Saccharomyces cerevisiae S288C: one gene and its partners. The protein of the gene in region 1 interacts with the protein of each later gene in a biochemical or structural test. Each region holds a gene or a part of one and is shown on either strand. Other genes may lie near its edges.

The links. Proteins that work in one complex are often made in the same cells at the same time.
Region 2: of the proteins of UBA1 (region 1) and UBC6, one has a biochemical effect on the other in vitro, tested with the Saccharomyces cerevisiae proteins (2 studies listed by BioGRID, with this or other methods).
Region 3: the proteins of UBA1 (region 1) and UBC12 form a complex in vitro, tested with the Saccharomyces cerevisiae proteins (one study listed by BioGRID).

What each region holds. Positions count from the first base shown.
Region 1 is NC_001143.9:36,769-43,273, reverse strand, and holds UBA1 (E1 ubiquitin-activating protein UBA1), read right to left. Parts: upstream 4,112-6,505; coding exon 1,037-4,111; downstream 1-1,036. Other genes in the region: ATP-binding cassette a-factor transporter STE6, read left to right, coding at 1-851; TRP3 (bifunctional anthranilate synthase/indole-3-glycerol-phosphate synthase), read left to right, coding at 5,121-6,505.
Region 2 is NC_001137.3:357,835-361,369, reverse strand, and holds UBC6 (E2 ubiquitin-conjugating protein UBC6), read right to left. Parts: upstream 1,809-3,535; coding exon 1,056-1,808; downstream 1-1,055. Other genes in the region: AST2 (Ast2p), read left to right, coding at 1-868; ribose phosphate diphosphokinase subunit PRS2, read left to right, coding at 2,309-3,265. UniProt on the Saccharomyces cerevisiae protein: Catalyzes the covalent attachment of ubiquitin to other proteins. Functions in degradation of misfolded or regulated proteins localized in the endoplasmic reticulum (ER) lumen or membrane via the ubiquitin-proteasome system.
Region 3 is NC_001144.5:742,564-745,906, reverse strand, and holds UBC12 (NEDD8-conjugating protein UBC12), read right to left. Parts: upstream 1,757-3,343; coding exon 1,754-1,756; intron 1,620-1,753; coding exon 1,056-1,619; downstream 1-1,055. Other genes in the region: chitin deacetylase CDA1, read right to left, coding at 1-287; 1-phosphatidylinositol 4-kinase STT4, read left to right, coding at 2,044-3,343. UniProt on the Saccharomyces cerevisiae protein: Accepts the ubiquitin-like protein NEDD8/RUB1 from the UBA3-ULA1 E1 complex and catalyzes its covalent attachment to other proteins. The major substrate is CDC53/Cullin.

The sequences.
Region 1 (6,505 bases):
GCCAACGTGCTGCCAGTTGGATCTATAGGATTCTTGATGAAAAGCATAATACCCTAGAGGTTGAAAACAATAATGCTAGAACAGTGGGAATAGCTGGTCACACCTACCATGGCAAAGAAAAAAAACCAATCGTTTCAATTCAAAATTTGACATTTGCCTATCCATCTGCACCTACCGCCTTTGTTTACAAAAACATGAATTTTGACATGTTTTGCGGACAGACGTTAGGTATCATTGGTGAATCAGGCACAGGAAAGTCTACACTTGTGCTTTTATTAACAAAACTTTATAATTGTGAAGTAGGCAAAATTAAAATAGACGGTACGGACGTAAATGACTGGAATTTGACAAGTTTAAGAAAAGAAATTTCAGTGGTTGAGCAAAAACCTTTATTATTCAATGGAACCATCAGAGATAACCTAACTTATGGTTTACAAGATGAAATACTTGAAATTGAAATGTATGATGCATTAAAATACGTAGGAATCCATGACTTTGTAATTTCATCACCTCAGGGCTTGGATACACGTATTGATACAACTTTACTGTCAGGTGGACAAGCGCAAAGGCTTTGCATAGCCAGAGCACTTCTGAGAAAATCAAAAATTCTGATTTTAGATGAGTGTACTTCAGCCTTGGATTCTGTCAGCTCCTCTATCATCAATGAGATCGTCAAAAAAGGTCCACCTGCTCTACTAACAATGGTTATAACGCATAGTGAACAAATGATGAGGTCTTGTAACTCGATTGCAGTTCTTAAAGATGGTAAAGTGGTTGAGCGAGGTAACTTCGACACTTTATATAATAATCGCGGGGAATTATTCCAAATTGTTTCCAACCAAAGCAGTTAAACCCAAAGAAAATATAAAACAAAAAACTAAAACATACTCAAATATTCGAGACTACATTAATAATAATAATAATAATAATAATAATAAGTTTTTACCAAAGAAAAAGTTGTCAAAAGTCATACATATATATATACATATTTAATGTATATATTTAATTTATTTTTTTATTTTGGTTAATTAGTTACTCATAGATGAATGGTAATGAAAGGAACTTCAACATCCTCTCCTTCCTTGTCATCTGCGCAAATTTCGAGAATCATTGTAGATACATGTGCCGGAATATCTTTCTTAGTCACTAATTTAACCAATTGAGTTATTGGTAGATTTAGTCTTTCTTTCAATTTCTTTGGAGGGAAAAATGAGGCATAAAGAAGAGAAACGCCATAAGAAAGCATTGTTATTTCTAACCCTTCATCTTTTTCAAAATGTTCAATTAAATCACTTAATTTAATATCTCCCTTGATATCAAATCTATCCCAAATTTTATCATATTTCTTGTTGTTATATTCTCCCTTTGGTGAAGCAATTGGTTCCGAAAAACCGAAAAATGGCAAAGCTAAATTAACAAAGCCATTCTTATATTGCTCAATATCTGTCTTGTTGTCAATCAGTTTATATAATTCCAAATTGACCAAACCAGTAACCAAAGAAGTGGTTGTTGCGATGGCAGGAATAATACGGCCAGCTATGAATTTGGTCTTTTGGCGATCAGCAGTTTCGATGAAGTAGTTTTGAGCTCTACAGTTAGAACAAGCCGTTATAAATTCAATATGATGATTAGTGTCATCGTCTTTCTCGAAATCTACAGGCTCCAGTTTAAAGCCAGCCAAAGTAGAAGGATCTGGTAGGGATGATACCAGCTGATCAATTTCATCTGAGCCATTAGCCGCGTTGGCATTTGGATCCGGATCATCGTCATTAACTTGAATTTTCAAATTGGCATTTGGAGTAAATTCTGGAATTATCATATGATCGATGACGGACTTATACTCGTCCACGTTGGGTTTAGAATTAGAGTCATCACTTTTAATACCATAATTATAAGCGCGTAAACTAGCACCTGCTACGACAAAATGGAAGTGATCGTTATTGTAAATATCAAACTCTAATGGTGTTGGAGCACGCTTAGCACCGGACCAAAATGGTTCACCGTTGGAAGTCTTGGCATCCTTGGGGAAGTTGAACAGTAACTGCTTGATATCATGGTTGAATTTTTTTTCAAATTCTAACCTTGCCCATTTGATACAATCTTCAAAATTGTGTGGTTTACTAGATAGAGAATCTGAGATGGATTCTAGAACTCCCTTGACATCCCCGCTTTGCTTTAGTGTTTGCTCAACGAAATTCGGTTGTGTCAAGTACATATTAACGTTTTCGGCGGAATCAGTGAAGTAACCTTGGAAAAGAGATTTGGCCCAGGCAATGGTGTGATCAATCTTGTTTGGGAAAGAACGTAGGGTACACAATGGGATAGACTTTTCTGGTGGGTCTCTAGAAGAAGAGTATGATTCAGTCAATCTTGGAATGATGACTTGAGTATTACCTTTAGTACCTAGGGTACCAGATTCTAACAGTGGTTTTCTATAAAACACACAACGGCGATCTACGTATGTTCTTGCGTCGACATTGTCTAGAGCGTTGGTGACAAAATCCAGGCTTTCCCAAAAGGAGTCATTAAATATTTCCTCAGTTTCTGGCCCCACTTTATCAATTTTAGCATTTATCTTGCCCTTCAAATCGGGGTTCATAGCACAAACGGCCTCTGCCGCTACTTCAGATTTGTTCTTTCCGACATCCTTTGGTCTAAACAAGAACTGACGGTTTAAGTTGGACTTTTCGATCGAATCGTTATCCGTAACAACGATGTAACCGTCGGAGCCAGAACCAAGCCCCAAAAGTGCCCAATTTTTCAACATCTCACAACCAATGGCACCAGATCCGACAAGAAAGACCTTTGAATTGGCAATCTTTTTCTGAAAATCCAAACCGAAAACCGCGATTTGATTATCGTAACGAGAGTTTACTGGCTGAGTAGTCTTCTCATTTCTTGGGAAGTTTTTAGGATCTGGCAATGATTCCAAGGAATCAAAGTACATAAATTGCTTTAGCGGAGTAAATTTACCAGAACATGCTTTTAACACTTCTTGTGCCACAAGGCCACCGAAAAATGCTACGACACCCGGTATGTCACCTCTTGCCTGATAGGAAAGCTCTTTGATTAAATCTTCATTAACATCTACACCTTCACCCAGAACCTCCGGTTGCTGAACGGACAAATCGGTGACCAACTTGATTAATTCATTGGCGTCTTCGTCATTCATTGTTCTTGGCAGTTCACCATTATGTCTAACGGCAAACTGATGTAAAGCCTGAAATCCCAAATGCAATTGAGCAGCTCTGTCAAATTTAGCAAAATCCGAAAAAACAAACTCAGGATTGGACAGTTGTTGTTTCAAAGACTTGAATGAGATTTTACGGGGTACTTTGACTTCGGTGAAGATACCGCCCTTCTTATACTCGCCATATTCTTTGACTGAACCAATTCTGAATGCAAAGGGCCCCAAAACCTCAACTTTAAAAAGGGTCCCATCATTCAACTTATCAAGACCTTCTACTTCGGAGAACCTGACAAAATTTCCGTCTTCCAACCCGTGTCTGTTATCATCTAGCATGGTCACTGTTCCATCGGGCTCGATGTCTGAAACCATACCAGTGCGAGGTTCTTCACCCGTTGGGTCCAACACTGTGAACTCGTCACCTAGGTCTACGAAGGTGTTACCAAACAGCCCTCTTGTCTCCGAGGAAATGAATCTAATACCGGAGGAATGGCAAAATTCGTTGATTTTCACCTTATCTTCCAAAGAAACAGTGTCCGTAGCGACAACGACCTGGAATTGACTCAATTGGGTAACATCGTCTAAGGAATCCAGCACATTAACCGGGACATATGCGTTCAACTCTGCCAATTTGGCTCTGGTCACATCTCCTCTCTTTTGACCAATATCCTTTTCGGTCAAAAAGAATTGGGTTGATAAGTCTGCCAATTGAACCGGCTCAGGGTCAAAAACGGTCATAGATTTGACACCTGCCAACACAACGTTCTTCGCTATCTCAACACCTAGCCCCTTCAAGCCGAGAATTAATACGTTGGAGGTTTGCATTTTCAACATTGCTTCCTTACCCAACACATAAAGTTGACGAGAATAAAGACTTTCATCGATTTCTCCGGCGGCAGAGAGACCACTATTATTGCTGCTCATAGCTATAGTTATATGTTCTTTGCTTTGCTACTAATCTTACTTTTTGTTTGCTTATATCCAGCGATTGGCGGTTGCTCATCCTACTTAAAGGCCCTTTTTGATCATTTTCTTTTACCTTTATTTGCCACCCGCACCTTTTGTCACACTACACGAGAATATGCCGCATGGAAGCGTAATGGCAATTCAAGAAAGAGCTCTAATATTATTTACAATCACATGAATACAAGATCATAGCTTAACAAGGAGTGGATAGTCAGTAAAGGCGCCCTAAGCTCTACTAAAAACTGGGCTTTAAAAGATGTTCCTCGTCACTTGAGAATCTGTTGTCCCTATCTGGTTCCTCATCATACAATCCACTCCATCGTTTCTCCCACCCTACTACAAACTAGTGAGGCGAACGAGAAAATAAGAAACACTAAGGCTCGCTTTTCCTGCTGGACAGAGACATGCATTAGTGTTTGTTGTTCTCGCGCCAGTCGCTGTTTTTGCTTGCAAGTGCGACGTCCTCTTCTTCTTCTTCTTCTTTCTTCTTTGAGATGCGTAACAACACAACTACATTTTGTATTTTCCTCCCTTTTATACTCCTCCGCTGGAGTATTTTTTCGTATTTTTCACTTTTTTTGCTTCTTATAGGCCTTTTTGAACTATTTTCTGTTAGGGCTTAAAGAAAGCGCAGCAAATGGCTGATTTTAAATGCTGTTTTCTCGAAAGCAATGCTGATGATGTACCACAAAGTAGTATTTGCGCTTAGCTTGTCGATATAAGTATGCCTTTGAGCCAGTATTAAACTTCCTACTATCTCTTCTGGACCTCACCGTGCTATTCATATCACTGACGACGGAAAATGCCTCTTGTAGTAATCATTGAATGATCATCAATGGCTCGTTGACTCATTCTAATCTATAGCAGATATTAAGGTACGCAAAAAGTTCGACAAGGAGCTGGTCAGTATTAACACATTACCAAATCTGTTTGGTTCTACATAGAACGCCATAAAAGTAAGAAAAAAATGTCTGTGCACGCTGCAACAAACCCAATCAATAAGCATGTGGTTCTAATTGACAACTACGATTCCTTTACCTGGAACGTTTACGAGTACTTGTGCCAGGAGGGCGCCAAAGTGAGCGTCTACCGTAACGATGCAATTACAGTTCCAGAAATTGCCGCCTTGAATCCCGACACATTGCTTATCTCGCCTGGACCAGGCCACCCAAAGACAGATTCTGGCATTTCAAGAGACTGTATCCGGTACTTTACTGGGAAAATTCCTGTATTTGGAATCTGTATGGGCCAGCAATGCATGTTTGACGTATTTGGTGGTGAAGTTGCCTACGCTGGTGAGATTGTCCACGGTAAAACGTCCCCAATCTCTCACGACAACTGTGGAATTTTCAAGAACGTGCCGCAAGGTATTGCTGTGACAAGATACCATTCATTGGCCGGGACAGAATCGTCCCTACCATCCTGCTTGAAGGTTACTGCGAGTACCGAAAATGGAATTATCATGGGTGTAAGACACAAGAAGTACACTGTAGAAGGTGTGCAATTTCATCCGGAATCCATCTTGACCGAGGAAGGTCATCTGATGATCAGGAACATTTTAAACGTCAGTGGAGGCACTTGGGAGGAAAACAAATCATCTCCTTCAAATTCTATTTTGGACCGTATCTATGCTCGGCGTAAAATAGACGTCAATGAGCAGTCTAAAATCCCAGGTTTCACCTTTCAAGACTTACAATCTAACTATGATTTAGGTCTTGCCCCACCGTTACAGGATTTCTACACGGTGTTGTCATCATCCCATAAAAGAGCCGTTGTTCTTGCTGAAGTCAAGCGTGCCTCTCCATCGAAGGGACCCATTTGTTTAAAAGCTGTTGCTGCTGAACAGGCTCTCAAATACGCAGAGGCTGGTGCATCCGCAATTTCCGTATTGACCGAACCTCATTGGTTTCACGGTTCGTTACAGGATTTAGTAAATGTGAGGAAAATCCTAGATTTGAAATTTCCTCCCAAGGAGAGGCCTTGTGTTTTGAGAAAAGAATTTATTTTCAGCAAGTATCAAATACTAGAAGCAAGATTAGCTGGAGCTGACACTGTCCTTCTTATAGTCAAGATGCTATCTCAACCCTTATTGAAGGAACTGTACAGCTACAGTAAAGATTTGAACATGGAACCTCTCGTTGAGGTGAACTCCAAAGAGGAATTACAAAGGGCTCTAGAAATTGGTGCTAAAGTTGTAGGTGTCAATAATAGGGACCTGCATTCATTCAACGTAGACCTAAATACCACCAGTAACTTGGTAGAATCTATTCCAAAGGATGTTCTTCTAATTGCTCTATCGGGAATTACCACCAGGGACGATGCTGAAAAATACAAAAAAGAAGGTGTCCATGG
Region 2 (3,535 bases), on another chromosome or scaffold:
GTTAGCCATTGGCGCCCTGCAAAGTTCGTTGCTCATTGATCCGCGTGTCGATCCTATTTTAATGCGACCCAAAAATACTCTATCACCAGAAAAGGCAGCAGGCTCCTTATTCTGTTTAGGAACAGCACTTAATCTGTTAGCTCAACTAAAGGAGAAGGATCAATTGAATACAGAATCTAATGTTTTAATAAACGGTGGTACAAGCTCTGTAGGGATGTTTGCTATCCAGTTATTGAAGCGTTACTATAAAGTTTCTAAAAAGCTAGTAGTGGTAACGTCAGGTAATGGTGCAGCAGTCCTGTCAGAACATTTCCCGGATTTGAAAGATGAAATCATTTTCATAAATTATCTGTCATGTAGGGGAAAATCTAGTAAACCACTCAGACGTATGTTGGATACCGGTAAAGTTGTAGATTATGATGATTTTAATACTCTCAAAGAAACCGAAGATTATACTCAGGGTAAATTTAATGTCGTGTTGGACTTCATCGGTGGTTATGATATCTTGAGTCACTCGAGTTCTTTAATTCACGCTAAAGGTGCTTATATTACAACAGTTGGTGATTATGTTGGAAATTATAAGAAAGACGTCTTTGATTCTTGGGATAACCCTAGCGCCAATGCAAGAAAAATGTTTGGATCAATGTTATGGTCATACGATTATTCTCATTTTTACTTTGACCCCAATATCAAGATTATCCCCAAGAAGAATGATTGGATACATGAATGCGGCAAGCTGCTAAATGAGGGAGTCGTAGATTGCGTTGTTGATAAGGTTTATTCCTGGAAAAATTTCAAGGAAGCATTTTCCTATATGGCTACACAACGTGCTCAAGGTAAGCTTATAATGAAAGTTGAAGGTTTTTGAAATGGGAGTTTCTGTCTCCCTAGGTTTCACCTCATTTTTATTGAGGTTTCTTGGTCAATACATACTCAAAAATATAATTAATAATTCACAATGTTCATAATAAAAAGATCCGTTTTGTCTATATAATACTATTGATTTCTATTCTGTGTTGTCAAAATTTATCTAAAGTTTAGTTCATTTAATGGCTTCATTTCATAAAAAGGCCAACCAAAAACAAAAAAATAGCGATACCAATATAAACCATTGAAGAACTATCATTAGGTTCTTTGCCATCTTTCTTGGAATTATTTTCTGATTGTCTCAACGCTTGTTCAGCGCGTATTCTGTCTTCAGGGTCTAGAATTTCCTCCAACGAGATGACTTTTTCCTTCGCAGCCTTTGTAAAAGGGTCTTCTGTTTCATCACCTGTATTTGCCGCATCCCCCTCATCCAATTTTCTCTTTTCTAATGTCTCTACATTTTCCTGTACAACTTCCGGAAAAATCAATTTGAATCTAACATTTTGAAAAGTGTTATAACTTATGGAATTTCTTGCTAATGTCTTCTTCTGATGGTCTGATGTTGTAATTGATCCTGTCGTGGCTTCATCACTGGTCATGAAACTTAGTAACCCGTTCAAAATGGTTGAGACAGACCAGCCAGGATTCCAAGTATCAGGGTGGTAATCACTCATAGAAAGGCATAATCGTGTGTTGGGCTTGAAACGTCCATTCGGTGTTATCATTCTGATAGCCGGTGGTTTGTATGGATAATCAGACGGGAAAGTTAAAGTACCGTGATATTGACCGCCCTTGTAAGGAGTATCCGCAGGTCCTGTGATAATATAGTGCCACTCTAAAATATTATCTTCGTTGGGGCGAGCAAGAATATATGGTGGAGGGTTTTCCACCATCAACTTGTACTCTTTCGTCAATCTCTTGTGAGCCTGCTTTGTAGCCATTACTATTGTACGTACTTTGTTTGCAATTTGCGAATGCGGTTTTAGTTAATATTTAAAGTCTTTTCTGCGATATGCGATGGTAGTCTTCTTTATCACGGCTCCTAAAGTGTGATAATCGGAAAGTTCCTTTCTGTTCTCTGCAATCGATTTCGGCTTTTTCTGAACACAAATAACCAAAATTTCCTTATTTTATTGGGGAGGCTATCCTAATTGTAAAGTGCAATATTGCTGTGGAAGGATATCGACTCAAGCGACCAGTGGAATAGGATGGCGAGTTGGCTAGTTTAGCTCTCTCCGACATTGTTGCTATTGAACAGATACGGTATGCCCGTGTATTTATCCTCCTACCAAATCGCGCAGCAAAATGGTTAAGCACGTGACTATTTTTCAACAATGAAAAAATTTTGAACAATAGATGATATGAGGAGGCATCGAGGGATTGCTAAGAAGAGGATATTCCTCATCATCCAAAGACTATCTTGTCGTAAGTTTCGTTGAATATGTCTACAAACAGTATTAAGTTGTTAGCTGGTAACTCACATCCTGGGCTTGCTGAGCTTATTTCCCAAAGGCTTGGTGTACCGTTATCTAAAGTGGGGGTATATCAGTATTCAAATAAAGAGACGTCTGTTACAATAGGGGAAAGCATTCGTGATGAAGACGTATATATCATCCAAACTGGTTACGGGGAACATGAAATCAACGATTTCTTAATGGAATTACTTATCTTAATTCACGCTTGTAAGACGGCATCAGTCAGAAGAATTACGGCAGTAATACCAAATTTCCCTTATGCTAGACAAGATAAGAAGGATAAATCGCGGGCGCCCATCACTGCGAAGCTGATTGCCAATCTTTTGGAAACTGCGGGTTGTGATCATGTTATTACTATGGATCTCCATGCTTCACAAATTCAAGGGTTTTTTCATATCCCGGTTGATAATTTATACGGTGAACCAAGTGTGTTGAATTACATAAGGACCAAAACAGATTTCAATAATGCGATACTGGTATCGCCTGATGCTGGTGGTGCGAAAAGGGTGGCTTCTTTAGCGGACAAGCTGGATATGAATTTTGCCTTGATTCATAAGGAGAGGCAAAAAGCTAATGAAGTTTCGCGAATGCTGCTTGTCGGTGATGTTGCTGGTAAGTCATGCTTGTTGATTGACGATATGGCTGACACGTGTGGTACGCTGGTGAAAGCCTGTGACACATTAATGGATCACGGTGCTAAGGAGGTTATCGCTATTGTCACACATGGTATATTTTCTGGCTCAGCTAGGGAGAAGTTAATAAATAGTAGGTTATCAAGAATTGTTTGCACCAACACGGTACCTGTTGATTTGGATTTGGACATTGTCGATCAGGTGGATATCAGCCCTACGATTGCAGAAGCTATCAGAAGATTGCATAATGGAGAATCAGTCTCATATTTATTTACACATGCGCCTGTTTAAAGAAGAGGTATAAACGAATATATTTGTATAAATGTACTAACAGATATTTTGAAAAAAAATGCGTATATCTATTCAGTATTAGCGCTTATGCTGCCACCAATATTCTTCATCTGGTCTCTATGAGATTTTCATTAAAGCTTAATCTTTTCTGATTTACCGCCCTTGCTTTTGGAAAATATGTGAAATTTTATTGTGCTCTAAAAAAAAAAAGTTATTACAGTAGGTGAAGTGAAATACAACTAAATTCGAAAGATCAGGAACAATAGAAAG
Region 3 (3,343 bases), on another chromosome or scaffold:
TAGCAGTCAAATGAGCACTGCTCTCTAGAAATTTTGGGACACTGGCCAGGATAGTACCTATCTAATTCTGGCACTTCAGTAAGATTTATGTAATCTAGCGGAATATAAGGTGGGTCAATTCCAGGCCATTGTGTAAGATTAGTAAATTCTGTTAACCACTCTGGAAAGGGCGTTTGCATATCTACTTCCCCCATCAATGCGGTACTCCCATTTGACGCAAGGCAATTTCCCTGTTTTAGAAAAAATGCTGCGAACAGCACAGATTGTATTGTATTGAAAATTTTCATCTCTTTTCTTGTGTAAAAGTAAATCTATCACTTAATTTTGTTTCTCTATATTCCACTTTGCTTACTTCTAAGCATCTACTTTGTTAGAACTATTGGTCTTTTTGAAAACACAAAAGTAAATCAACCCACTTGTTGGTATTTTTCTCTTTTAATTGCGATTGAATGACGGCCGGTCCGGAAAATGTGACATCTGGAAAAGAGAAATGTTGAAGCTGCTTCCAAGTGCATGAGACAGAATTTTTTTTACAGAAAATAGAAAGCGTTATCTTGTTAAATATTACTAACTAGTATAGTCATTCATTTTTTTCTTCCATAGTTGTAATATCTTTATTTTTTGTAAGAATTAGCGATAGCTGAGATTGCGTTCTTCAACTTCCTGCTCTCTCTTAGTCTTCTATCCAGGGTATCTCACCTTCCTGATTATCTTGTCAATAGCCATGGCTTCGCTGTTTCTTTATTATAAGAAGTATTTTTTGTTTTCTTCAAGAAATTTTTCGTATTAATATCTTTATGTTTTGTTTGCCTTTACTGGCCAGAAATTTTATACTTATTTTGAATAGAACACATTAAGTTCTACAGGTACCTGCAAAATATCGAGACAAAAGTTTGAACGAGAATATAAGGAATGTTGGTCATAAGGCGTAAACTAACAGAAGATGGCGGTAGCAAGATGTTACCAAGGCGACAACTCGCCTAGTATGTCACAATTATCTATAATTTTATTGTTTATATATAATCAAATCAACCGAAAATTACTCTGAACTTGACTCAAGGAGAAACTATGTTATCATATTTGACATGTTCAATTGAACCTCCAGACATGGTCAATCTCACAGCTTCAGCAAATTCTTTCTCACCCTCACACAGTAACTTTGCTGCATCCTTGTTTAACGGGTCATTGGGATTAGGCTCCAAGAACAAGAAAAGAAGCCCGGTTATAATACTCTGCAAATCTAGAGCTGGCGACCAGTCTTCTCGAAGAATATTTAGGCAAACGTTCCCCTTTAAATCGATATTTGGATGAAAGATCTTCTTCAAACATACAACTTTTGGTGGTTCAATCGGATAAACTTCGTTAAAATCCAAATTGAAATTAATAGATCCATAATTATAATATCCTTCATCAGGCCTAACAATTACCTCCAATTTCGGCGATTGTGATCTATCCGCACTATCTGGTGATGTTATTACATTCAAAGTCACTGTTGGTGGGAGGTCCAGCGAATCAAGGTCCCTTTTCAAACGAATTCTTGCTGCCGATAAATTAGGCTGAATAGAACTGCTGTTTTCATTTTCTTTTTGCTTTTTCTTTTGTAATTGGCGTAATTTCAACTATTTGAATAAAGCCAAGAATATACATATCCAGTACACATATACATTCTCACCCCCCAAAAAGATTATGTTAGTATTTTCGATCGCTAAAAACCGCCAATGAGAAACGGAAAGATATAGTTGCATCTACGTACCATTTTTATTATCTTGTTTTATATTCTCTAACTGATTCTTTAATGTCTCTAAGTACATTTATGAATGATTGGCCTTTTTCATCTCATTTTACCTTTTGGCTGATATCATCAAACGGCACGCGCAGGGATGAAGGTACGTTAATAGTATTTTTTTTTTTCAAGAATACTGCGAAGATGTTTGAGTTGTGGGAAAAAACATATTCAACATTAATAACTATTGTAAATCAAGAAAAAAATTAGATCACAAAAAGATAACTACAGCAATCGAAAACGCCACTCGTTTAAGGCAGATGAGATTTACCAGAGGATTGAAAGCCTCTTCATCTTTAAGAGCGAAAGCTATTGGAAGACTAACTAAACTTTCGACGGGTGCACCAAATGATCAAAACAGTAATGGTACAACATTAGATTTGATAACTCATACATTGCCTATTTTTTATTCCACAAATACGTCAAAGATATATACTATACCACTTACATTGAGTGAATGGGAAGTACTAACTTCGCTTTGTGTTGCAATCCCTACCACGCTCGATCTGGTAGAGACAATGCTTAAAGAAATAATTGCGCCTTATTTTCTGGAAACTCCAAGACAAAGAATTTCAGATGTTCTGTCCTCGAAATTCAAGTTGGAACAGATGAGAAATCCGATTGAATTGCTAACTTTCCAGCTGACTAAGTTTATGATTCAAGCTTGTGAACAGTATCCCGTTCTTTATGAAAATATAGGCGGCATCATTTCAACTTATTTTGAGCGTGTATTAAAGATTTTTACTATTAAACAATCTGGTCTACTATCATTAGTGGGCTTTATTAATGCATTTATCCAGTTTCCCAACTCTACAGAGCTTACTAAATTCACCTGGAAAAAGTTAGCGAAACTTGTGCTTCGTGGATCATTTCTAAACGAAGTTGATAAGATTTTGAATTCCTCAGCAACGTTTACCAATGATTCAATCGTCCAGTATTACGATGCTGGAAATGAGCTATCCAGTGCCTACTTATTGGAATTAATATCTCGCTTGCAAGTTTCGCTAATATCTCATCTGTTAAACACTTCACATGTCGGCGCCAACTTGAGTGAGTTCTTACTAAATCAACAATACCAATTTTACAAATTTGATCAAGAAGTAGCCGATGAAAACGATGATACGAAGTGTATTGATGACTTTTTTTTCAACGTAAGAAGCAATAAACAGTTTTTTACAGACATGTGTAAAATTTCCCTGCAATTTTGTTCTGAGTCACATATTCTCGACCTATCTACAGACAACCGTGCAAGATTTTCTTTTGATACTCGAGCCCACTACCTACAAACGCTATGTTTAATTCCGTTTATAGAAGATACAGAAAGCGAGCTTTTTGAAAGTTTTACAAACGTTGTTTCTGAATCTATTGATAAATTTTTCTTATCTGATGTCGTTACACCATCTTTGATAAAAGCAATTGTAGCTTCTGCCTCATTACTGAATTTTTTCACGGAAAAATTGTCATTAACTCTGATTCGTATGTTTCCTTTATTGGTAGCGTCTCCACATATCACGACTGAAACAGTTAATGATGTTGCAAAAATATTCACCACAGGGTTAT